3 linked regions of the Tamandua tetradactyla genome follow. The main gene of each other region encodes a partner of the protein of the gene in region 2 in a complex. Links are inferred from orthologs where the notes say so. Each region holds a gene or a part of one and is shown on either strand. Other genes may lie near its edges.

Region 1 (7,496 bases), on a different chromosome or scaffold from region 2:
CTCAGGGAGCTCCGTTGAGCCCAGGCTCCCTCCAGGGGTGAAGGGTGGAGCCAGGTAGACCCGGCGGAGAAGCTGCAGCTGCTTTCCCAGCTCCAGGACGGGGAGTTCTGGGTCGAGGAGGCAGAGTTCCTCAGGGAGTTTGATGAGGTCACCGTTGGCTGTCTTGTCACAGAGGCTGGCCACCTGCTGAGCCTCCACACAGGTAACAGGCCGGACCCTTGATGCAGGACACTACTCCCGAGCCAGGTGGCCTTCGGGTCGGGGGTCAGACCTGGGGCTCCCCCTCTTACAGCAGGGGCAGTGCTTGCCCTGGCCCCGTTTTGCTTTTCATCCAGCCTCTTTCCCACCCCGGGCTGCTTGAGGAGGTGGGGAGCACGGGGCCCATCTGTTGTGTTTCCACCCCTTTCCCCGCGCACAGAGGGATGGTGCCGGTGTAGAGCTGTGGCCCAGAGCCCACCTGCCTTGTGTTTCTGCACTAGCAAAGGTGTTATGCCATACTCAGACGCTGCCTGGGGCCTGGATCCGCGGGCATTCGGCAGGAGGTTGCCGGAACAACAGCAGTTTTCCCAGCAACCCCAAGTTCTGGCTGCGGGTCTCAGAACCCAGCGAGGTGTGCATCGCCCTCCTGCAGAGACCTGGGGTGCGCCCAGCTGACTACACCCCCATGGGAGACGACCGTGCAGCTCAGAGCCACTTCAGGGCCCTGGGCAAGGACTACCGGGCCGTGGGCCTACACGTCTGGAAGGTAACTTGGCCGGGCTGGCACCCCCTCGCGGGATGAGGGCGAGGACGCCCAGTGTTGGGGTTCAGATGCCTGTCACTCCCTGCACAGTGTCAGTGTAGCATGACAGGAGCTGTCTACCCGGGGACCAGACCCCTGCCTGGGAGCAGAAGAGATGGGGGCAGGACAGCGGTTCTGCCTCCAGGGATTTTCCCCCAGCCCTGAGCTTCCTCTGCAGCCCCTGTGTCCTCGCCTACGCAGCAGGGCTGGTAACCAGCCTGGTTGTTTGCAGGATGAGTTAATAGGGCAGGATGCTTCCATTGCAACCTGGGCCCTCAGCAAGAGCTGCTGGAGGCGCCCACCCAGCTCTGCTCTGCGAGGGCCAGAGCTCTAAGTTTGGGGCAGGTGTGGGCCCCCATTGTGGGCTGCTTGGTTTTTAACCTCACAAATCCTCATGGGTCTCATGGCCCACGGCAGTGCTTACCCGTAGTGGGTGCGACCTGGCAGTGTTCCCTTCCTCTGGCTAAGGGAGTACCAGAGTGTCCTTTGCCCAGCAGCCCATTTGCACAGCCGCAAGTTCCTTTTGGGTACAGCTCATCTTGTCCCTCCATTTCCTTCCTGGGCGGGCATCTGACGGGACTGCGTGGCTGGTCCTTGAGAGGATAGGTCATGGGGCTGGCAGGCCGGGCACCCTGCTCCATTCCCTCGTTTGGCGAGAGACCCTTCGGCTCCAGCAGCATGCCAAGATCACCCCTCTGCTGACCCCTCCCTGCCTCCCTCAGGTGGAGGGGCAGCGCATAAGCCTGCCCAGGGTCCTGTCCACGCCTCCCGTGGCCGGCACCAGCTGCCACGCATATGACCGCGAGGTCTGCCTCCGCTGTGAGCTCTCTCCAGGCTTCTACCTGGTCGTCCCCAGCACCTTCCTGAAGGACATGCCTGGCCAGTTTCTTCTCCGGGTGTTTTCTACTGGCAGGGTCTCCCTCAGGTGAGGAACAGGAGGCTCCCTGAGGCATGTGGGGGGTCTGCTTTGCCCACGCCTGTGACACGTGATCATATGGGCCACCCACCACCGGCTGCCCCCAAAACTTCTGTTGCTTTCTCCCCTGGCAGTGCCATCAAGCCAGCGCCCGGGAGCCCTGTGTCCCAGCAGCTGCGCCCTGCCGGAGAGTGGGAGACCGTGCGGCTGCAGGGCTGCTGGAGAGTCGGCCAGAGTGCGGGGGGCAGCAGGAACTTTGCCTCCTACTCCACCAACCCTTGGCTCCCCCTCTCTGTCCCTGAGGGTGTGGGATCGCGCTGTGTCCGCATCACTCTGCACCAGCACTGCCCAGACAGCGAGTGGCGCCCCATCGGCTTCCACATCTTCCAGGCAGGCTGCACAGTGGGTGGCTCATGTGGGGGCTTCCTGGGTGTCTGGATGTTGAGGCCACCTGTCCGCGTGCTGGTCTGGACATCAGGAAGTGGATGTACGGCTGTGCCAGCCCTCACCGTGGATGAAGTGTGGTCGTGGGCAGGTCTCCTGGGTGACTGGGGAGAGAGCCAGGACAGGGCTATGCTATTCCCTGGTCCTTCTTGCCCTGGCGGTATCTCGGGAGATGGCAGAGCCTTGGACTCTAGTTTGGGCGCTGTGACTTGGTTGGCCATCATCCCTGGGTGTCATGAGGCCTGGCTCAGAGCAGCTGTTTCCACAGCCTATTGTTCTCTCAGAACCTCCGAGGTTGGAGAACAGGCTGGCTCTGAGGGCTGCTGCAGCAGAGCTCTGGGTGGAGATCCTGGCAGGAGACCTGCCATGAAGGAGTTGAAGAGACCACCCCAGGCAGCACTTAGGGGGCCGACCAGGCCCTAGAGCCCCCATGCAGTCCCAGCCTCCAGGCGGGAAGCTCATGTGGGGCTTCAGCAACCTGCCTGTGGCGGGGGAGACAAGCGGGGTGGGTCCCACAGAAACTCTAGGGCTAGGTGGCTTAACTGTCTTCCTGTCAATCTAGAATGGGAGCCTATCCCTAAGTACCCTGGAGTGTACCCGTGGAGAAGTGGGTGTGGGCATCCTGGGCGGCAGATGTGGCAGAGGGTGTCCTGTGCCCTTTGGTGGGCAGGGCTGCTGCCTTAGCGAGCCACCCAGCAACCTCCTAGAACCTGCTTCCCTCCCCGGGCTGTTTGTCAGGGTCCAGGTGAATCTTCTCTGGGCATTAGTGGGTTTTCCAACTAAAGCCCCTGGTGATTCATTGGTGTAGCCAGGTTGGGAAGAGTGCCCAGTCTGCCAGGGTCTTGGTGGCCCTCAGGAGGTATGGCGTGGGGGCAGGGACTAAGCCTCCTGAGAGCCAAGCAGGCAGGGCCAAGCTGCCACTAACTAGAAGGGGAACCCCAGCTAGGAGCTGGGACAAGTGTCCTCTGCTTGGGCTGCTTTGGAGCCTAAGCGGGAACCCTGAGGTTCTGTGGCAGAGGAGGGCTCTGTATCTCTGCCATGGCCCATCAGCCCTGTGCCTGGACTGCAGACACTGGGCAGCCTGCCCCCGCTTAGCCCCTGCCTCTCCCTAGGTTCCAGGCAGTGGCCAGGACAAGCCCTCCCTGCTGTGCCAGGAGCCGCTGCTTAGCTGTGTGCCACATCGCCACGCCCAGGAAGTGAGCCAGCTGTGCCACCTGTCAGCGGGCACCTATGGGATTGTGCCCTCCACTTACTTGCCTGACATGGAGGGAGCCTTCACGGTCACCATAGCAACCAGGATAGACAGGTGGCCTCTGAGGCTGAAGAGGGCAGGGGCTGTTGGCACCCTAGACACGGCTCCCACCTTCCCCTCCCCTCCCCCTGCCTGGGACACCCTGTGGGGCCTGGCTGAGCCGTGGGCAGTGAACCTAGTGTGCGGTGGGGCTGGGAGTGCTGCCCTGTGGGTGTGGGGGAGGTGCCAAGGGGCCCCAGGACTGTGGGGTGACTGTGGGGCCCTTTCCCATAGGCCGTCCATTCAGAGCCGGGAGAGACTGGGCCAACTCCTTCAGGAGGTAGGTGGGGGCCCGGGAGGCTGGCCCAGTCGCCTGCCCTGGGGGCACCAGGAGCTGCCTTCAGGCCCGGGAGGTGGGAAGAGGGCATCACGCCCCCCACTGCCCTTGGGAAGGAGCAGACACAGCTGCTGCCCAGCACTCCCACTCCCCACTTTCCTCTCACAGGCTTCCTTTAGGGCTGTGATGCAAACCTAAGGGGAGGACCAGCTCGGTGATGGGGGACCAGACCGGGCAGCTACCGTGCCCTGGCATAGCAGTTCCTGGACAGCTTGGACCCATGGCCACCTCTGCCCACTGCCAGCCAGGCTAACCCTCTCCTCCACTGGGCAGCTGCAGTGCCTGATGATGCCAAGCAGAGCGCCCTTTGGGGAACAGTGGGTCTTGTCCTGCAAGGGGAGGCAGCCCCTGGGCTGCTCAGAATTGCCTGGAGTCAGGCAGGTGCTGTGAGGAGGGCAGGAGACCCTCATGTACACAGACAGCAGACATGCCGGGTCCCCTGTGCCTAGCACTTGAGAGCACCCACCCCTCTCCTGCATCATCATGTCAGTTCCAGCAGAGGCCTCACTCCCCTAAGCGTGCATTGCAGCACATCTTGTAAAACTTGAACTTACTGTTACTTGAGGCATTTCTAAGATGTAATTTTATAAACACGTGATCTCTGGGCAGCTCACAGGTGATTTGTTTTCAAGTAACCCTGAGAGGTGCAGCAACCCTGCTGTTTCTGAGCTGGGGCTCTGGGAGGGGAGGTTGGGGGTAGGGGGCTCTCAAAGGGTGAGGGGCAGTGGGGTGCCAAGACAGAGGTGCTGCCTGGGTCTGCGGAGTAAAGGGCCGTCCTGGTCACATGCAGGACACACCCAGGAGCTGACAGCTGGAGGGCAGCCTGTTGTCCAGTACGCTTGTCACCAGCACCCCTGTCCTTCCTGTATCTGGGCAGATGACAGCTGTGGTCACTCTGGTGAGAGGACTTGGCCTGAGGCTCCTGGGAGAGGTCAGCCCACAGAGCTGTGCTGCCCTTGGGGCCCTGGAGTCCCTGGCACATGACCCCTGCAGCGAGCCCTTTCAGGAGCTGGGCTTAGGGGACCAGGGGCCACTGAGTTCTCTTCCCTGCCTCAGAGCCCCTTCTGGAAGTGGGCTTTTCACCAGACACCCTGCTGAACCCAACTGTCCCGGTGCATCTCCCGTTGCCCAGCTGATGGGCCAGGCTGGGGACCCACTGCAGGCACCTGGGGAGGGCGGCCAGAACACGGGGGCTGCTCTGGTCCCCATGCCCCATCCTGGAGAGGCCTCTGGGGCTGCACTCGAGTTGTGGCCCTTGCACTTCCTGTCTGTTAAGTCTGAAAGCGTCTGTCTGTCCGTCCCTTAAGCCATCATCTGTCAGTAAGAATCAGCTTCTATCCACTTTTTCTCTGCAAGGCAGTTGAATAGTAAAACATTGCTCCCCCTGGGACAGGGCTTCCCTACCCCAGCACCTCTCTCACACACACACACCCAGGGCCAGGCAGCTGGAACCCTAGAATCCTCTGGTCCAAGGCTGGGCCCACCTCAACATCCTGTTCCTGGGCTTTTCCCTGGTGTCCTGGCCCCGGATGTGCCTGCCGGGTGGGGGCTGCTCGGCCCAGCTCTGTCAAGGAGGAAACCACAGTGGTCCAGGCAGGAACCCTGTCCTGGTGACACTCTTGGGGCCTTAGAAACCTCTGGCTTCCACCTACCCCCTCCTGCCAGACCGAAGCCCAGGCCCATTTGGGATGGCCAGGTGAAACTCAGGTTGCACATTACGGGTTGCCCCGCAGGCTTGGGGCACCAGGACCAGCTGCCATCCCCTCCTCGTGCTGACCAGCCCCACTCTGGGATCCCCCCCCCCCCCAGCCTGGCTCAGGGGCCCATGAATGGCACCAGTCTGAGGCTCCATGGCAGGGGCCACACCCTGGCCCAGGGGTGGGGGTAGAGCTTTGCAAATCCAGTGGTAGTGCACAACGCTGGGCCCACTGGGGCTGCTGGCAGGTCTCCGGCCAGGCAGATGTGGTTGTGGGCAGGCGAGCACACCTCCCGTCCTCCCACCTTTCCCAACTTTCCTGCAGACTCTGCCCCCGCCAGCATGCAGGTTCCCTCCCAGTGTCACTTCCTGCTTCAGGTGCTGCAAGTGCCTGCTCCACCCTCTCTGATTGGGGGCAGCCTTGGGACAGAGCTCCTGAGGTGAGTCTGGAGGGCAGGTGGACATGGCAGGGGGTGGAGGAGGGGCAGTGGTTCTGGGCAGGAGGCCCTGGCCAGAGCCATGGTGGGTGTTCCCGGCTCTGCACCCTCCCATGCCTCCCTGCGCACTTAGCGGCCCACCTTGGGAGCTGCTCCCGCCTCTTTCTCCTGCCTGCCCCCCTGGCTTTGCTCTTGTTTTTTACCAGCCTTAATCTTTACCAAAGTTAACCTAGCTGTGTGGCCTTTTGACATATTTTATTCCCGGACCCTCCAACATGAGGCCCAGGGGAGGCAGCTGCTTGGGAGGGTCGTGAGGTCTTTTCTTGTCTGGAGGGGGCAGCAGGAGGCTCCTGCCTGCCAGAGGTGCTGGGAAGGCGCTCAACCCGCAGCCATCAGACCGTCCACGCTGGGACGCTCTGGCCGTTTCTTCTGATTCCCAACAAGGACAGGCCATGTCCACCCAGATGGCGCCTCCGCGGCTGGGCTGGGGACCAAGGCCTGCTCGGGACCGCGCCGGAGGCTCAGTCCCGGTACGTGCAGGGATCCCTGCAGCGTGGGCCCCACCCACAGGGCACAGGGCCAAGCCGGCCCCTTCCTTGGCACCTACACGAGTCGGCCGCGAGGCAAGGGTGCTGGGTGGGGAGCAGGCTGCTGGAGGACCCCATCAGGGCTGGTGCTGTCTCCGACTCCGGGTGGTGTCTGTGCATCGTGCAATGTCTCTGTGTCCAGCCGGCCCCAGTGAGAAGACAGCCTGGGGCTGCTGATCACCCCCCCAATGCTAGAGACGCTGGGTAAGCGCTGGGGGTGGGGCACTGCACGCGGCCTTAGGATTGTCCTCTGCACGTGGGTCGTCTTGACGGCCTTGACAGTGGGGTGGCGAACAAGCTGGTGGCTGCCAGGGACGGGACCACCCCAGAAGCACACCTGGGCTCCTTCAGGTGGGGGCCTCTGGGGGGGGCCAGGCACACTGAACCTGGAGAGGCAGCAGAGGCTGTGGCCATAGGGGCGTTTGGGCCATATCTCCCGGGCAGAGCCTCGCATGGTATTTCTGGAACTCTCCCTGCTGAAGTCTTGGGGTACCTCGGGGATCCACCAGGAAGGCGGCTGCCGCCATCGGGCATAGGCGGGGGCGGGAAACCGGGGAAGAGGCGCTGCTGGGGGGCAGACTTCCCCTAGCCCCAGGGCGCACCTCTCCGGCTGGTAGGTCTCTGCTGTTCCCCTCAGTGTTTTGCAGCTTCTAGCATGCATGTTTTGCATGTTTTCTTAAGTAGCTTGTTTTTTGATGGCTTTGTAGTTACAATTCTTTCCAACATTTGTTCCTTGCTGGCACATAGAAATGCAATTGCGGGTGGGTTGGTGGTTTTGTTTTTGTTTTGTTTTATTTTTGATACATTAACCTTGTATCCTGTAACCTTGGTAAATTCAATTATTAGTTCAAATAATTCCTTAGGATTTATAACATATATGATTATGTCATTGAGAAAATAGAATTCAACTTCTTCCTTTCCTATATAAATGTGTTTTTTCTCTTTTTTTGCCTTATTTCCACTTCAACACTGTTTTGGATTGAAGCGGCAGGAGTGACTGGCAGCCC
Region 2 (7,531 bases):
TCTTTTGAAGGATTTTAACATGTTTTAATTTATAAAACTTAAGATTTCTGGGGTAGAAGGTGATCACAAGGGAACTAAAACCAAGGAAGGAAAAAAATAAATACTGCCGGGCCTGGTGTTCAGGCTCTTAAGAAAAAGGCTACAACCAGAATTTTATGAGCCTAACCAAAAAGACATTTATTTATGAAATGCCAAGGACCCAATCATTATCACTCTGCATTCTATTTGTTCCCTCAGCACCCTGTCTACCGCAACACTGTGTCTGCTGGGAACAGAAAAAACTCAGAAACTTCTCCCAAATCAAACTTCAAAATACTGTACATCACAGAATGGTCTTTGGAATCTCTGAAAGGAAGACTCAACTACAAAATGAGATAAAAATAGGGACTGCAACTCACTGAGGTTTGTTCAAACCCAAAAGTCAATCACTAAACTGTTACTTATTTGTCCATCTTCACAGTCACATGCCTATTGGAAACCATTTTTTGGGTATCTAGAAAACTATTTTTCTGTCAATTTTCTGATTATGCCAACTCAACAAAACTAGGTGCCTTCATCACCAATGCTCAAAATCCAATGCTCATTAAGGAACCAGTTATTTACCTGGCTCTAGATCAGTTAACATGTTGACTCTGCTCATTAGCATAATTCCTTAAATTCAGCTGCACCAGGATACAAAGATACCTTCAATTAAGGAGTGGTAAGGCAGACAGTCTGTGGCCTTGAAAGAAACCTTAACTAGTCTTGTGCTAAACTTTAAGCAGGGTTAAAGAGAACTGCTCTCACAGTGGTCTGTACACTTTCATGCTCCTCCCCATTCAGGGAGTTCTTCTTTACTAAACCCTTGGAGAAAAAAAATGACATGAAGGAGTTGCTTAAGTACTTCTTGAACATCCCACTTAAAAATTTTTAAAAAACCGTTTCAAGGCAGGCCATGGTAGCTCAGCAGGCAGAGTTCTCACCTGCCATGTTGGAGACGGAGACGGGGGTTGGATTCCCAGTGCCTGCCCATGCGGAGGGGGGTGGGGACCACAAAATGTTTGAAAAGCCCCCAAATCTGTGGCAAACTCCTAGATAAATGATACTCAGATAAAAGAGAAGCCTGATGCGCCTTAAGTACCAAGCTCTGTGACTCAGTTTTGTCCTAATGCTTTTTATGCAGAAAATATGTGATTCTAAGAAAAATGAATGCTAATTATTTTCAAATGGCAAAAGAAAAACATTCTTCCCTAATTCTCTTAAGTCCAGAATTAAAAATTTTGTGCCTTTTCCACTTAAGGACAAATTTTAACTTTTTAATTAAAAAGATACAGTCAAACAGAAGCAGAACCTGTAACCCAACCTGAGACTGATCTTAATTTAGTGACTCAACCTGTACAGAATCCACATCCCTTTTTCTAGGCCAAAGACTCTTTTTTGGGGGAGCAGATAAAACTTTAATATCACCCAAACGTTAATTTCTAATCCTTATTATATAAAAATATTAGACCTTCAAGTCTACTATAAATATTAACTAATACTTAGATAATATATAAAATATATAAAATAACAACAGTCTTCATTTTATATAAGAAGCATGATCAGTCTCTTTTCTTACTTTTCAACCCTACTTATCAAACCAAAACGGGTTCACAGCAAGGGCATCTTAGGCCAAAGATTCTTAATATTATCACTCAATTTCACTTAATTAGGAGAAGCAATTGATGGTACACTCCCCACTTCCCCCCACTTAACAAAAAACCAGTGTGGAACGTGTAGCACAGTGACTATGGGCAAACATCCTGCCCGACCGTGACAATGCGGCGAAAAACCACGGATGTTAATTTTTCAGAGGTAACCGTATGGATCTACCCTTTCCTGAATCGAACACAGAGAAAATGACACCCTTAAGTATCAAATGCTTTTCCAAAAGAGACCGACTGGCTGTCACCCTTCGCCCTTGACAAGAGACTCGGATAAAAGTTTTCTTCTTGCAACGGTTCCAGAAGTCCCGTGGCTCAGAAGGCGGCCTAGGCAGCCGGGGGTTGGGCGCAGACCCGGCCCATGTGACTCGGTCACCCACCCCGCGCAGCGAAGTTTGCGCTGCAGGACCTGCGGGGGTAGGGGCGGGGTGGGGGGGGGGGTAGGGTCTCATGCCGGCTCTCGGGTCTTCCAGCCTCATCTGGAGGGAGGAAGGCAGACGAGGTCACCATGCACCCTGAGACACCCGCTCGCCTGACTCTCCTCTAGGAGGGAGCAAAGCTAGCGGCGGGATGGGGGGGGAACGGGTCGTGACCCCCACAGGGGCAGCAAGGGGGAAAGCGGGACGCCCCCCGGGGATCCCCTCACCTGGAGGCGAAGGAGTCCCGGGTGGACACGACTGGTACCCGGGGCGCGCCCCCTCCCCGCCCGGGCCAATCCTGCGCTAGGGACCGAGCGGGAGAGGGCGGTGGCCGGCCCCGCGCAGACCGCCGCCGACCTCAGGCTCGGCCCTCAGTCCCCGGCCCCCGACCCCCGGCCCGGCACCTTTGATCACGTTGCTGTAGATGGTGGGGCGGAACTCCTCGCGCGCGCGCTGGTCGAAGTCCTGCCCGTGGATGATCCGCATCTGCTTGAGGAAGGTGGACTTGCCGCTCTCGCCCGCGCCCAGCAGCAGAATCTTCACGAGCCGCTTTACGTAGGTCTTCTCCCGGGACAGGCATTTGTCGATCTCCTTGGACTTGCGCTGCTGCTCGGCCTCGCCGCTCGTCAGCACGCAGCCTGGGAAGCACACGGACAGCACGGACCGCGACGGCAGGAAGTCCGCCATCTTGCCGCCGCCGCCGCCGCGGCCGCCTCGGCGGGCCCCTCCGGCTCCCTCCACCTCCTCTTCGGGCGGCGGGCGGCTCCGGCACGGCGGCTGGAGGGCGGAGAGCGCTGCGGCGGCCCGAGCGCACCCGGGGAGGGGAGAACGAGCAAAGTGATTCGTAGGGCGGGCCAGGCAGGGAGAGGGCCGGGTGAGCCGGGGAGGGAGGGCAGGAGGGCGGGCCCGGGAGGGGCGGTGGCCCCGGGGCGTACGCGCGCTCGCTGTCTCCCGGAGACGCGCACGCACGCTGCTGCCTCTTTCCCGCACCCTGACCGAGACGTATGAGTCACGCGCTCGCTGGCTGGCTCTCTCGCGTGCCTGCGGCCGCCGCCCGGCGCGCGCGCGGAGGCCGGGAGCTGCTGTCACGTGGCATCCGGCTGGGCCGGGCGGCTTGGGGCCCTGCGTGCGCCTGCAGAGCACGACTTTCTGTTTCCCTTTAATTAACTGCGTGCACTTAGGGGCCGAAGGGTTCCTCCCCCGAGGCCAGGCGGCCGGGGCCTGGTCACTGCCTTTTGGGCTCCCCCTTCTCTTCAGCCATCTCCGCCGCCCTTTCTTTCGGTTACGTGCCCACCGCCTGCTGTCACCGTTCCCATGCCTTTTTCGAGGATACTGACTCAAAAAAATTACCCAAACGGCGGGCGAACACACCTGGAAGTCTTGGGGGTACTTTTTTTCCCCCGCGGCTCAGTTGACATGCTGCTCTCGCAAGCTCAGAACCATAACCAGAAGTCGTGTTTATTCCATCCTCTCCTCCCACCCCACACCCCCGCACCCCTGCAGGTCTTTGTGGCATTCTCAGACCTCTGTACGGGCCCTCCTTTAAGGAGGAAGAGCTGGAGTTGGTGTTAATGTGAGAGGCGTTCGGAGACGTGTCACTGGTGTGGGTTCCGAGCTGCGCCCCGACTGCGGGCGCGCCGGCCGCGCGGGAAGCTGGACGGCGGCGGAGGGTGAGGTCATGGTGAAAATCCCCCTAAACCGGACACTGTCCTGCGGGCGCTTCCGACGAGGAAACAGATAAGCAAACAGACGGAGGACAGGAGCAGGCACTTCGTAGGTTTCCTGCTAGATTACAGAGGATGTGACCAGCCAAGGGGCTTTTCTGTCCCAGCAGATTCGGAGCAGGACACCTGAAAGGACTGCTGGGGAATGAACCTGGCGAGTGACAGCTGGGCTGGAAGAGCGACTCACCTAGCGAGGACCCTGGAAGCCGATTCTTACTGTTTAGTTTCAAGTGGGAAAAGCCGTTTTACTCTGCCTCTGCTTTTGGCAGCGCAACGCAGTGCTCCTTGGTTTGGGTTCCTGTAACAGGGGAGCTTCCTGTGTGTTAGGGCGGTGGGGGGAGATGAGAGGTGAGCGTGCAGAGAGGCTCGCGAGCACGTGTAATTAAAAAATAGGTGCTGATCATTTACTCCTGGGGTTGGGTTAATTACTGAGATGCCTCGTGACTCAGTAAACTAGCTGCTGTGAACAATGCTGGTAGTAGAATGATCTCTGGTTGTCCTGACCAACCCCAGAGGGTGGACGGTTTACGATATGCAGTCACCGCCTTCTTCTGCAGGTTGATAGGGTCAGAATCCCTGGGCAGTGCAATACCCTACACGGGGTGGAGCTCTTTCTAGGCTCCAGAAGGCCTGTTCTCCAACCAGGAAGGGCCTAACGTGTCGCCCCTGACCAGCACAGAGTCAGCCCCCAGGCACCATTCCTGCTTGGACTACAGGTGCAAATCTGGAGTCTTCTTCAGCTGAGACAGGAGGAGGGAAGCCTATACATTAGATACACTTTTTTTTTTTTAATGTGTGCTATGTAATGAAGAACAAAGAGTACCTAGCAGGCAGGAGGTATTCCTGCCCAGCCAAGTCATGTTGTGACAGGTAGAGTAACAAAGAAAGCTGTTCAAAGCCCTGATTGTAGTCTTCCCATGGAACAAGCCTGACTGCCCTATTGGTTTGTTTCTGAAAAAGAGACCTCTTTGGGCCCAGCCTGGGCTTTGGCTTCAGCTGTCCGACTGCCTCTTAACTAACTGTCTGGTGATATTGATACCTTGGAAATTTTGAAAATAAAAATGAGTTAGGGAGTTGGCAGTTCCTCAAAAAGTTCAACATGGAATTACCATAGGACCCCACAATTCCATTTCTAGGTATATACCCTAAGGAATTGAAAACAGTTGTTCGAACAAAAACGTGTACACAAAAAAATGTGTATAAGAAAAAAAGCGTACGTGAAACACTTTTTGCAGTCGCCAAAGGGAGAAACAACCTAGTTGCCCATCAGTAAAGGAATGAATGGGAAAACAAAATGTGGTATATCCATATAATAGAATATTATTCAGCCATAAAAAAAGCAATGAAGTTCTGATACATGGGCTACATGGGTGAACCTGGAAGACATGTTAAGTGAAAGCAACCAAACACAGAAGGCCACACAGTGTATGATTCCATTTATATAAAATGTTGAGAATAGGCATTTCATAGAGACATAAAGCACATTCACATTTGCCAGGTGCTGGGGTTGAGGGGAGAATTGAGAGTGACTGCCCGATAGATACAAAATTTCCTTTTGGGGTGATGAGAGTGTCCTGGAATTAGTGATGTTGGCTGCACAACATTGTGAACATACTAAATGCCACACAATTGTGCACTTTAAAATGGTTAAAAAGGTGAATTTTGTGTGATGGGAATTTTACCCCAATAAAAGAGTGTTTGAGAACAAATAAATATATTCCATAAAAGAAAAGTCATCGGCATCATTTAACGTTGGAATACATACTATGTGCAACTTCAAAGAGTGAAAGTTCCATTGTGTTTATTTTAAAAATAACACTAATAATTGTTTGCGCCAGAAGCAAATCTACTGTAGCAGTCACTGCAAGTTACAATATAATATTAGTGACATTTTAATTTTCAGATAGATTTGTTTCATCACTGAAGAAAAATCCAGATTTTTAAATGGTGTGTAGAATCTATGGGTTATAATTGAATATACTGGGCACTATATTTCCAATAGACCCAGATGTTAATTCATTAGAATTATTGTTTCTATATTGTTTCTAATGAATATTATTTATAACATATAAATTTATAAACATATAAATGGTTAGTCAATTTATATGCAGATGAGATATTCAGATGCCCTGTGGAGGTGTGAAAAAATTCCTCCTGGAATGGGTGGTTAATTGCAGGGCTCTTCTTCCAGGAAACACAAAGGCTAGTGGCACTCAGTTTTGCAAGAGAAACATTGGAAGGTATGACTATAAATACATTTCCAAGCAGCTTTCTCCTTTAATGTTGTCACCTTATGAAGGCGCAAGCCCTTTCCAACAATGCTTTCAATTCTTGAAACCCATTGGTCATTCTTTTCAGTTCTAAGGTGGAGTCTTCTTCAGCTAAGACGGGAGGAGGGAAGTCTATACATTAGGTAAATATCTTTTTACTGAAAGAAAAACATTCTTCCTACCATATAGTCATAGCTTATTTTCAATTTTAAAAAGTGACATTATGGAACTTATTTACCAACCCTCGTGCTAAATAACTTGGGCTGTTTACAAAAATCAGAATTAGCCACGAAAGACAAAAATCTGTCACCCTCAGACATATTCAGAATAATGTGCCAGAGGCTCTAGGAAGGATTCCAAAAGAGAAGTTTAAAAATATCTGAATGATGAGAAATAGAATTTAAATAAGTGTTTCACTTGCCAAGATGACTTGGAATGGGACAACACCCATTTAGATATGTTTATTTAAAAATCAGTCACATTATTTGATGATTAAACCTTGTGTTAATTTTCTAATAAAAATAATGACACATCCAGCATTCGTATTACGCCACTCTCTTCTGTCTCATCATTAACATAAAATAGGTGGATTCTAGTCCTTTCTTACTGATAAAATAGGCATGAACCTCATCCTTTCTTCCCTTCTAGGAAAGTAAGGGAATTCCCTGGCCCTCTCATAATATAAATCCCTTACATTAGTGTAATGTTAATAAAACAAAGCACTTTGGCCTACTTTCCTCATTCTCTGCTCACAATAGCCCCACGAGGAATTGTAAGCTTTAGACTCGCTCCCTTTTGACACACAAGGAAGGTAAAGAGGAGTTTAAACATCTTACTCAAAGCTTTACTTACCAATAGCAGAGTGAGGACTGGAACCCCCACCTCTTGACTCTGAGTCAAGTGATCTTTCTGATATACCAGTATGGCCAGAATGCCCAGGTGTTAAAAGTTCAAACTTGAGACGCAAGTAGCTAACCCTGTGTAAGCACGAGGCAGCATAGAGTCCAGCAGTTGTGTTTGTTTCTTTTTGTGTCGGTTATTCCATCTCCTTTTGGGGTGAACACCACCTCGGGGCTCACACCAGTCCTTAGGCTGATCCTGGGAAGATATTGAGTACTTTGAGCTTAGCCTCTGGGTTGTAAAATGTTCCCAGGTGGCTGATAAAGAACTGAGAAGAGAGGAATCCCACTCTGGCAATATATACATGATATGCAAGTCCCATACGTTCTCTTTAATGTGACTTAAGTTTGAAAAGGCAACCCTTTTTTTTTGTAATGAAATCTGGGGGTGCTCTTACCAGAATAAGTCTTTCATGTGGAGCGTTTCGGATGAAACTAGACATGTGGAATTGAATTGTCGGTGGTTTTTTGTTGTTGTTAATAATGGAAAACATGACTTTAATTGCTGGTTGTATTTTTCTCAGCCTCTGTAAAAGA
Region 3 (7,031 bases), on a different chromosome or scaffold from region 2:
CAGGGCCCCGGGCGCCCCGATGCCCTCTGCCCGCCGCGGCCGACCCAGGGGGCTGACTCCGTCCAGTGCGCGCGGCCTCTTCCGGCAGGCGGTCGAGGCCGGAAACAGCCCGCGCCTTGATTGGCTCATTTTCAATCCCAGGGCACTGAGCGGCTCGCCTATTGGCCTGAGCTCGCCATCCTCGGCATCTGATTGGCCCCGTTGGGGGCGCTTCTGCGGTTAGAACCGGAGCGGGTAGTTCACAGGCGGCCGGGGTAGGAGTCAAGACTGTGCGGTCGTAGCCGGAGAGCTGGAGCCGCAGCCTGACCGCTGGGTCACCCCGACCAGACGCCCCCGGGCTGGCCTGGCCTGCCGGCGCAATTGGGAATTAAGGTCCCTGTCGCAGGCCTGGGAACCATGCTTGCTGGTGGGCGAGAAGCCCAGGGCGTGCTGCCGCTTTCCAGGGCTCACGTGGGGACGGGCACCCTCCTCCGCTCTGGCGGCCTGGAGAAAGATTTATGATCGTTTTCTGGGGCCTTAAGAAATGGGTTCAGCCCTCACACCCCAGGACTGACCCAAAAAAACCTGTCTTCTCTGGGGGAAGGGGACACACAGAGGGCACCGCGGTCCCACCTTCGAGGGGGAGGGGCAGCTCTAGCAATCAGAAAAGGGGAAACTGAGGCCAACAGCGCCTCCTGGGTCGCATCCTTTCCACTTGGCCTTACTAGAGGAAAACATACAAGGCCAGCAGTCTTGCTTCTCAGAAAGAGGATGCAAGGGCGGAGACCGGGGCTTACAGGAATTACACCCAGGCGGATAGAGACCTTGCCCGCTTCCCCATCCCAGGGTCCGTGTCCCAGGCCTGTCCTCTGAGCGCCTTCCCAAAGCTGGCCTGACCCTCCCAGAGACTCAGGAAGAGGTCGAAGGGCTCAGAACGGGAGATCGAAGGGCCAGGCCTGAAATGACAGGACAAGTGACAAGATCCGGAGGGAAAGGAAGGGACATAGGACTGTGGGGTAGAAGAGTAGACAAGAGGAAGGCGGGAGGACGGTTCGGTGGCTTCCAGCCTCCCCCGCAGCCCGCCAGCCCTCCAGTTCCACATAGACAGACCCTGTGGTTGCAGCTCCCTTGGGGTCCCCACCGACCCCGCGGCCCCTGCCCTAGGGAAGTCCCCACCCTCTCTTTTGGTTTCCCTCCTGAGGTCAGCCCCCCCCCCCAACATGCTGTTCTCCACGCAGCAGCCAGGGGGAGCTTTATAATTTATAAATTCAGTATGTCACTGCCCAGGTCCGAATTCTTCCATGGCTCCCTGCAGCCCCGAATGCTGGGCTCCTCCCCGCCTGGTCTCCTCCCCCTCCCCTCTCCCCAACCACTGCCGATTACTCCTCTCCACCTAGATGCGGCACGCATTCCTCCCTCAGATGTCCTTAATCTTCAGGTTCCTGTTTAAATGTCACTTTCTCAGGGTCGCCCCTCCCCCCGCCCCCGACTAGGGGTCTAGAGTGGGGGCCTTTTCCCCGGGCCTTCTTCTAGCACAGCAACTTGCTTTTTTTTATCTTCACAGCTCTTGCCACTATCGGAAATTATCATGGTATCTCTTTTCTCTCTGGCTGCCTCGGTAGAAATGTGTGTGCCGGGAGACCAGCCACCAAGGCCTTCCGGTGCTCAGATGGCGCTCAGAGAATGAATGAATGAATGAATGAGTGGATGGATGGATGGGTGGATGGATGGATGGATGGATGGATGGATGAGGGGACCCCGGTGGACCCCCCGAGGGGGGAGGCCCCTAGCACAGCCCCCGCCCAAAGTCACAGCAGAGGAGGTCGACCTGCCTCTGGGACTCGCGCTCGCAGCCCACCCTACCCCCAGCGGGTGAAGCCCGGCGCGTCTCCATGGAGACAGCAGCAGGCCCCGCCCCCGCCCTGGGCCGCCCTCTCGGCCTCCCTTATCTGCCCAAGGAATGCGCGGTATCCACACTCGCTGGCTCTAAGGCCGCGGCTCCCCTCTCCCGCCACGGCCACACGCGCAGGATCCCCACGCCTCCTGGTGGAGCTGGGGGTGGACGTCTCCTCTCCGCCAGGGCCCCGGCCTCGAGATTTCCTTTCCCGGCTGGGGAAAGGGAGACCCAAGCGGCCGCAGCCCCTCGAGTGCCGCGCCCGCGTCACGCGACGGTGGGGCCCGTGGACTCAGCGCGTGGCTCCCGGAGCCTCTGATAAGGGCAGAAACGGGGGAGGAGGGTGGAAATCCCCGGGTGAATCAGCCCGTGCCGGAGGAGGGGGCGAGCTGAGGGCGCTCCGTCGGGCCCGCGAACACGCCGGATCCGCGGCACGCGCGGCCTGCACCCAAGCCTCATCCCCGGGGTCTGGGGGAAGGAGGAGGCGCCGGAGCCAAGCAGTCACGCTGCCTTGTCTTCTAGAGCAAAGCCACGCCCTCGCAGGAGGGACTGGAGGAGGCGGACAGTGTGAGGAAACTGAGGCAGAGAGGTGGACGTGCAGGCGGTGGGCGCCCGCCCTCCCCGCGGATCCAGCCCCTCGACTCCACCGCTCCGCGACGCGCATCACCTTTCGCCCTCGCCCAGCCCGGGTCAGCCAGGAGGGGCGCTCTACGGCCCCCCCAACACACCCCAAATTCCCGGTCCCCGGCCGCCCTGTCCCCCCTCGCAGCGTCTCGGGCCGAAAGTACAAGAATTCCGCCTTCTCCTTGGCGCCAACTTCCTGCCGCTGGGGGAGGCGGGGAGCGCAGCCTGGGGGTTCGCGGCCGACAGAGTGGGCGCAGCCTGGAGTCATGGAGAGGGCGCCCGGGCACCACCCGCTGCGTGCAGCCGCAGCACGGGCTGCATGGGTGCTCCCTGGTGCAACAGGACCCCCAGCCGGACCCCCCCCCCAGCTCGGATCCCGCGACCTCAGGAGCCGGGGGCCCGCCCTTTCTGCCTCCCTCCGCCTTGCCCCGCGCACTCACCTGGCTAGGCCGGCCCGGGGCCCTGCCCTGGCCGGAGGGGCCTCGGCGTCCGCGTGCCCGGGACGGACGCGCCTGGGGCTGAGGCTGCCAGCCGCGCTGGGCTGCGTCCCGGGGCTGGGGACCGGGGACGGAGGCGGGACGCGGACAGCCGCTGTCTCGGCTCCCCTCTCGCCCCGCCCTCCTCTCCTCCCCTTTCCGGCGGCGGCTGCAATGAATTCCAGATGTGGCCGGCCGGCCGGGGCGCGCGCGCGGGAGACGAGTGGGGCGGTGCGAGGAGCCCCTTTGTCCGCCCCCCCCGCCCGGCCCCCACCCGTGAGAACCCACTGCATGTGACGTCACGCACTCCAGTGACGTCACGGCGCCCCTGGCCAGGTGGCCTTAACCTGAAACGACCTGTCTTCAGCTCCAGGTGTACACTTGGCCCATCCCTGCGACCCTAGAACTGGAGATCCCGGGATCCCCTTTATTTGGTCGACAAGAAGTCACGATGCACCCATGTGTCAGTGCAGCAAGTAGCTTTAAGTGCCTACTGTGTGGCTGTCCAGCAAATGATCAAAGGTGCTACTAGGTGTCACACCTTATCTCAAATGCAGAATTGGTCTTTGCCTTGACATGCCCCGGAGAGCTCAGGCGCTGCACCCTGCCCCCAGGACATTTGGGAAACCCCAGCAATTTACCCTGCCTCTCCTTACAGCACTATCCCACCTTGCTGTGGTCGACCAGCAGGCCCAGGCTGCACATGGCCTTCCAAATTGGGGTTCACTCTTCCTCCTGATACTCTAGCTTCCCCCTGCTTCCCTCATTCAACTTTTTCTGGTCACATCTGTACATCAGGCTGCTGAATCAAAGCGCGTCTTCATTTACTGATGCTTGTGTACCTGTGTGTGTGCATGTGTGTGTGTATGAAACCCGTGGCCAGACGACAGGATAAAAAGTCCCTCATTCCTTTTGACAAATTGTTTTATGGAACACTTCTTGGTTGTCATGTATTGTTCCAGGAGCCAGAGCACAAGGGTGGATAAAATAGGAAGAAAAAAAATCACCAAAGGGTGAATACTACTTACTGTACCCTATGGATTTTACAATAGTGTAGTTATAACAACATTGGCTCATCGGTTGGAACAAAATGTCACACCAAAGCAAAATGTTATTAGTATTTTAACATTTATGGGAGGGGGTTATATGGGAATTCTGAACTTTCTGTGTGATTTTTCTGTAAACCGACAACGGCTCTGAAAACTGGTATCTATAGAAAAAAGAGGCTCGCGGAAATTATGCTATCACTTGCGAAAATGAATACAGAGCGTGCTTCTTTATTTAAGGAATGTTCTGTATGCTGGAGTCAATGGGGAAACAAAATGGACAAAGCTCCCTGCCCCCATGGAGCTAATGTTTTCTTGTATGTGCACAGAGCATCCAGAAGATTCCAGGAGGAATCTCATCAGGTTTTGCCTCCTGGGATAAGGATTGAATGACAAGGGATAGATGGGGGATAAGAGTGAGGTTGATTTCACTCTTTGAACCCTTTTGTTCCCTTTTGACTTTTGTAACATGTGTATACTTGTCCTGTTGCAACAATAAATTAAAACGTCTAAGCTGCCTCATCTGGAGCAGTACAACCGATTCAAAGGAGGGCCCGTTTTGTGCACTCTTGTGCATGTATCTTATCTTTCAATAAAGACTGTCCAAAAAGCAAAATGACAGAAAAGGGAAATAAAATGGATCCACATATGTCTGTTAAACAGTAAAAATAGACTCATCTTGTAAGCACGTACACATGTCTTTAGTTGAGAGAAGCACAGGGCACCTCAGTGTGAGCTGCTTGCCTGCGTTTCTGAGCGTATTTATAAAAACCGTATAAATACACACATATTTGCCTGTGCATTCATCTCTGGTAGGTGACACAAAATACCGGTTACAGCTGTTGCCCTCAGGAGGGCAGACTGGGGGACCAGGTGGGGGTTGGGAGATAGACTTTTTAACGGTGCACGCTAAGGAGCTGTTTGGAAATTTTATCCCACGCTACCAATTCAAAATATGTACCAAGACGTGCAAAATCACAAGTAGCACATGACTGGCCTTCAAGTTGTAAACTAGTCCCCGTAAGAATAATAATTAATAACATCAATAATATTCCTAAGAAATAGTATTGTTGATAAACATATCAACGTTATTACCCAACATGTGGACATTAATGAACACGTGTGCATTAAAAATAAATATATTTAAATTATTAAATTAAATTAAATTATTAAAAATAAATATATTTAAATTATTAGTAAAGATAATGATGTTAAGCAACATAGGAGTGCATTTGATAAACACGGTTTATCAAGTGGTGATCGTGCAATGGATTCTATCACAGGCTGAGAGTATCGTGGAGGAGCCAGAGAAGAAAGCTGCAAGGTAGAGAGGCTTTCACGGGGGAATAAAGAAAATCAGAGGGTGACCGGCTGCAACTCCGGACACCCCGCCTTTTCCTGAGCCAGGCTTCAGGATCCACTTCAGTCTGATCTTGGGGATACAGCCAGCTGAGGGCTGTATCTGGGGTCTGCTCCAGCTTTAGCCAGACCTTGCTGCATCTTCTGCTGATTGAGATGCGTTGCCTTGACAATCTCAAGAAACCAGGTGTCTCACCCACAAAGGACCAGGCGCAAAAAAAAAGAACTGGGTCCTCTCCTCGCTGGGGAGCTATCGGAGCGGAAATCTCGGGGGGGAGGAAGTGCTCCCCCCCAACTTCCCCACGCACACACTCTCGCCTTGGCTGGCTCAGCAGTTTGCAGTTTCTCCAGGGACCGTGGTTGGGGAAGGAGGGGGGTGATATCAAGGCCACAGACATATCCGGCCGTCTGCCAGAGGGACTGTGGACTCCAGACAAAGGTGATGTCCCCAGGGACACCCAGAAACACCGACAGGCCACTTCCACCTCCCTCCTATTTCTGGGGCAGCAAGGGGTCACGACTGGGTCAGCGGTGGGGAAAGAGCTGGAGAACTGGAAAACAGGAGGCCTGGACTTCCTGAGGGCCTGGGGGCAGCAGAGAGGGGTCAGGAAGAGAACTGGGCCCTGCCTTGGGGAGCCCCCGGGTGAGGGAGCAGTGGGAGAGGAAGGAAACGGCGCCCTCTTCTTCGGGAGCTCCCGGGCAGAGGAATGACACCCCATTTGAAGGATGAGGAAACTGAGGCACAGAGCTCAGGTGAGATTCGAACTAGCACTGTTTGGGCCCTCTCCACCCAGCCACGCTCTTGTTCAAGCTAAGCCCCCACCCCGGCCCCCCAGCCTCTAGGCAGTGGCACCCCCCTCCACATGCATCCTTCCCTCAGGGGGTCAGGACAAAGGACCGTGGTGGGTGCACGGGTGGCTCAGTGGTAGAATGCTCCCCTGCCCTGCAGGAGACCAGGTTCAATTCCCAAACCACACACACACACACACACACACACACACACACACACACACACACAAAAGTAGAACAATGGGGAGCGCAAAGGACCACCTGGGTCCATGATGACATGTGGAACCTCTACTCTCCGATTCCGTCTCATCCCCAAATTCTGTGAGCACCCCCAAATCAAAGGAGCCCCAGGTCTGTCGTCATCCTGCCCGGGCCTCCATGAACCCCCCTCCAGCCCCCACCAGGTCTCGGCGTTTGGCAGGAGGAACTGCAGGAGGAGAAGTATCTGAGCCGAGTCCCTGTGCTTGGGGAAAAGGGGCCCCAGGGCTGCCGAGAAGCTTTCCAGATGCTGCGCTTGGCAGGCCCTGAACAGCAGCCGCCTCTGCAGGCCCCGGGCTCGGGGCCCACTTTCAGCTACAGGGACGGGGTGGGGAGGCCGGTCATGCCACGTCTCCACCCCAAGCCTTGGGGTCCCTCAGGCCCGGGAGGGGTGGGGGGGAGTGGGGAAGGCAGAGGACGCCGTCCTTTCTGCAAACCCTCCCCAGCATAATAATTTTAACAGCTGCAGGTACTGTGCTAAGAGCTTTTGCACACAGCGCAACCAGAGCTCACAGCTAATGGGCACGGAGTTTCCATCTGGGGCAATGGAAAAGTTTTGGTACCGATGGCGGTGAGGCTTGCACAACCCAAAATGTAACCAACCAC

What was found.
Region 1: the proteins of GNA13 (region 2) and GPR35 are in contact, whole or in part, in a cryo-EM structure (PDB 8H8J), measured with the Homo sapiens proteins. The link is inferred for Tamandua tetradactyla from reciprocal best matches to the Homo sapiens genes GNA13 and GPR35. Residues at the interface, in NP_006563.2 of Homo sapiens: Lys46, Arg47, Leu48, Val49, Lys214, Asn215, Val216, Phe218, Arg331, Gln337, Gln338, Lys340, Pro341, Leu342, Tyr343, Phe359, Arg360, Asp361, Lys363, Asp364, Ile366, Leu367, His368, Asn370, Leu371, Lys372, Gln373, Leu374, Met375, Leu376; in NP_005292.2 of Homo sapiens: Phe45, Gln51, Thr53, Thr55, Met59, Asp113, Arg114, Ala117, Val118, Pro121, Leu122, Arg123, Arg125, Arg128, Ala197, Leu198, Arg201, Pro202, Thr204, Asp205, Gly207, Gln208, Ala211, Ala215, Met218, Val219, Ala280, Lys281, Glu282.
Region 3: the proteins of GNA13 (region 2) and S1PR2 are in contact, whole or in part, in a cryo-EM structure (PDB 7T6B), measured with the Homo sapiens proteins. The link is inferred for Tamandua tetradactyla from reciprocal best matches to the Homo sapiens genes GNA13 and S1PR2. Residues at the interface, in NP_006563.2 of Homo sapiens: Arg47, Val216, Phe359, Lys363, Asp364, Ile366, Leu367, His368, Asp369, Asn370, Leu371, Gln373, Leu374, Met375, Leu376, Gln377; in NP_004221.3 of Homo sapiens: Ser66, Met68, Tyr69, Leu72, Arg130, Ala133, Ile134, Lys136, Val137, Lys138, Leu139, Tyr140, Tyr209, Ile212, Val216, Ser219, Gln227, Thr228, Leu231, Leu232, Val235, Tyr288.

Annotation. Positions count from the first base shown.
Region 1 is NC_135329.1:217,652,366-217,659,861, forward strand, and holds the start of GPR35 (G-protein coupled receptor 35), read left to right. Parts: upstream 1-4,494; 5' UTR 4,495-6,432; intron 6,433-7,496. Other genes in the region: CAPN10 (calpain-10), read left to right, coding at 36-202, 480-745, 1,504-1,706, 1,832-2,564. UniProt on the Homo sapiens protein: G-protein coupled receptor that binds to several ligands including the tryptophan metabolite kynurenic acid (KYNA), lysophosphatidic acid (LPA) or 5-hydroxyindoleacetic acid (5-HIAA) with high affinity, leading to rapid and transient activation of numerous intracellular signaling pathways.
Region 2 is NC_135332.1:8,914,274-8,921,804, reverse strand, and holds the start of GNA13 (guanine nucleotide-binding protein subunit alpha-13), read right to left. Parts: upstream 3,006-7,531; 5' UTR 2,789-3,005; coding exon 2,506-2,788; intron 1-2,505. UniProt on the Homo sapiens protein: Guanine nucleotide-binding proteins (G proteins) are involved as modulators or transducers in various transmembrane signaling systems.
Region 3 is NC_135337.1:91,527,464-91,534,494, reverse strand, and holds the start of S1PR2 (sphingosine 1-phosphate receptor 2), read right to left. Parts: upstream 3,003-7,031; 5' UTR 2,938-3,002; intron 431-2,937; exon of another isoform or gene 1-430. UniProt on the Homo sapiens protein: Receptor for the lysosphingolipid sphingosine 1-phosphate (S1P). S1P is a bioactive lysophospholipid that elicits diverse physiological effects on most types of cells and tissues.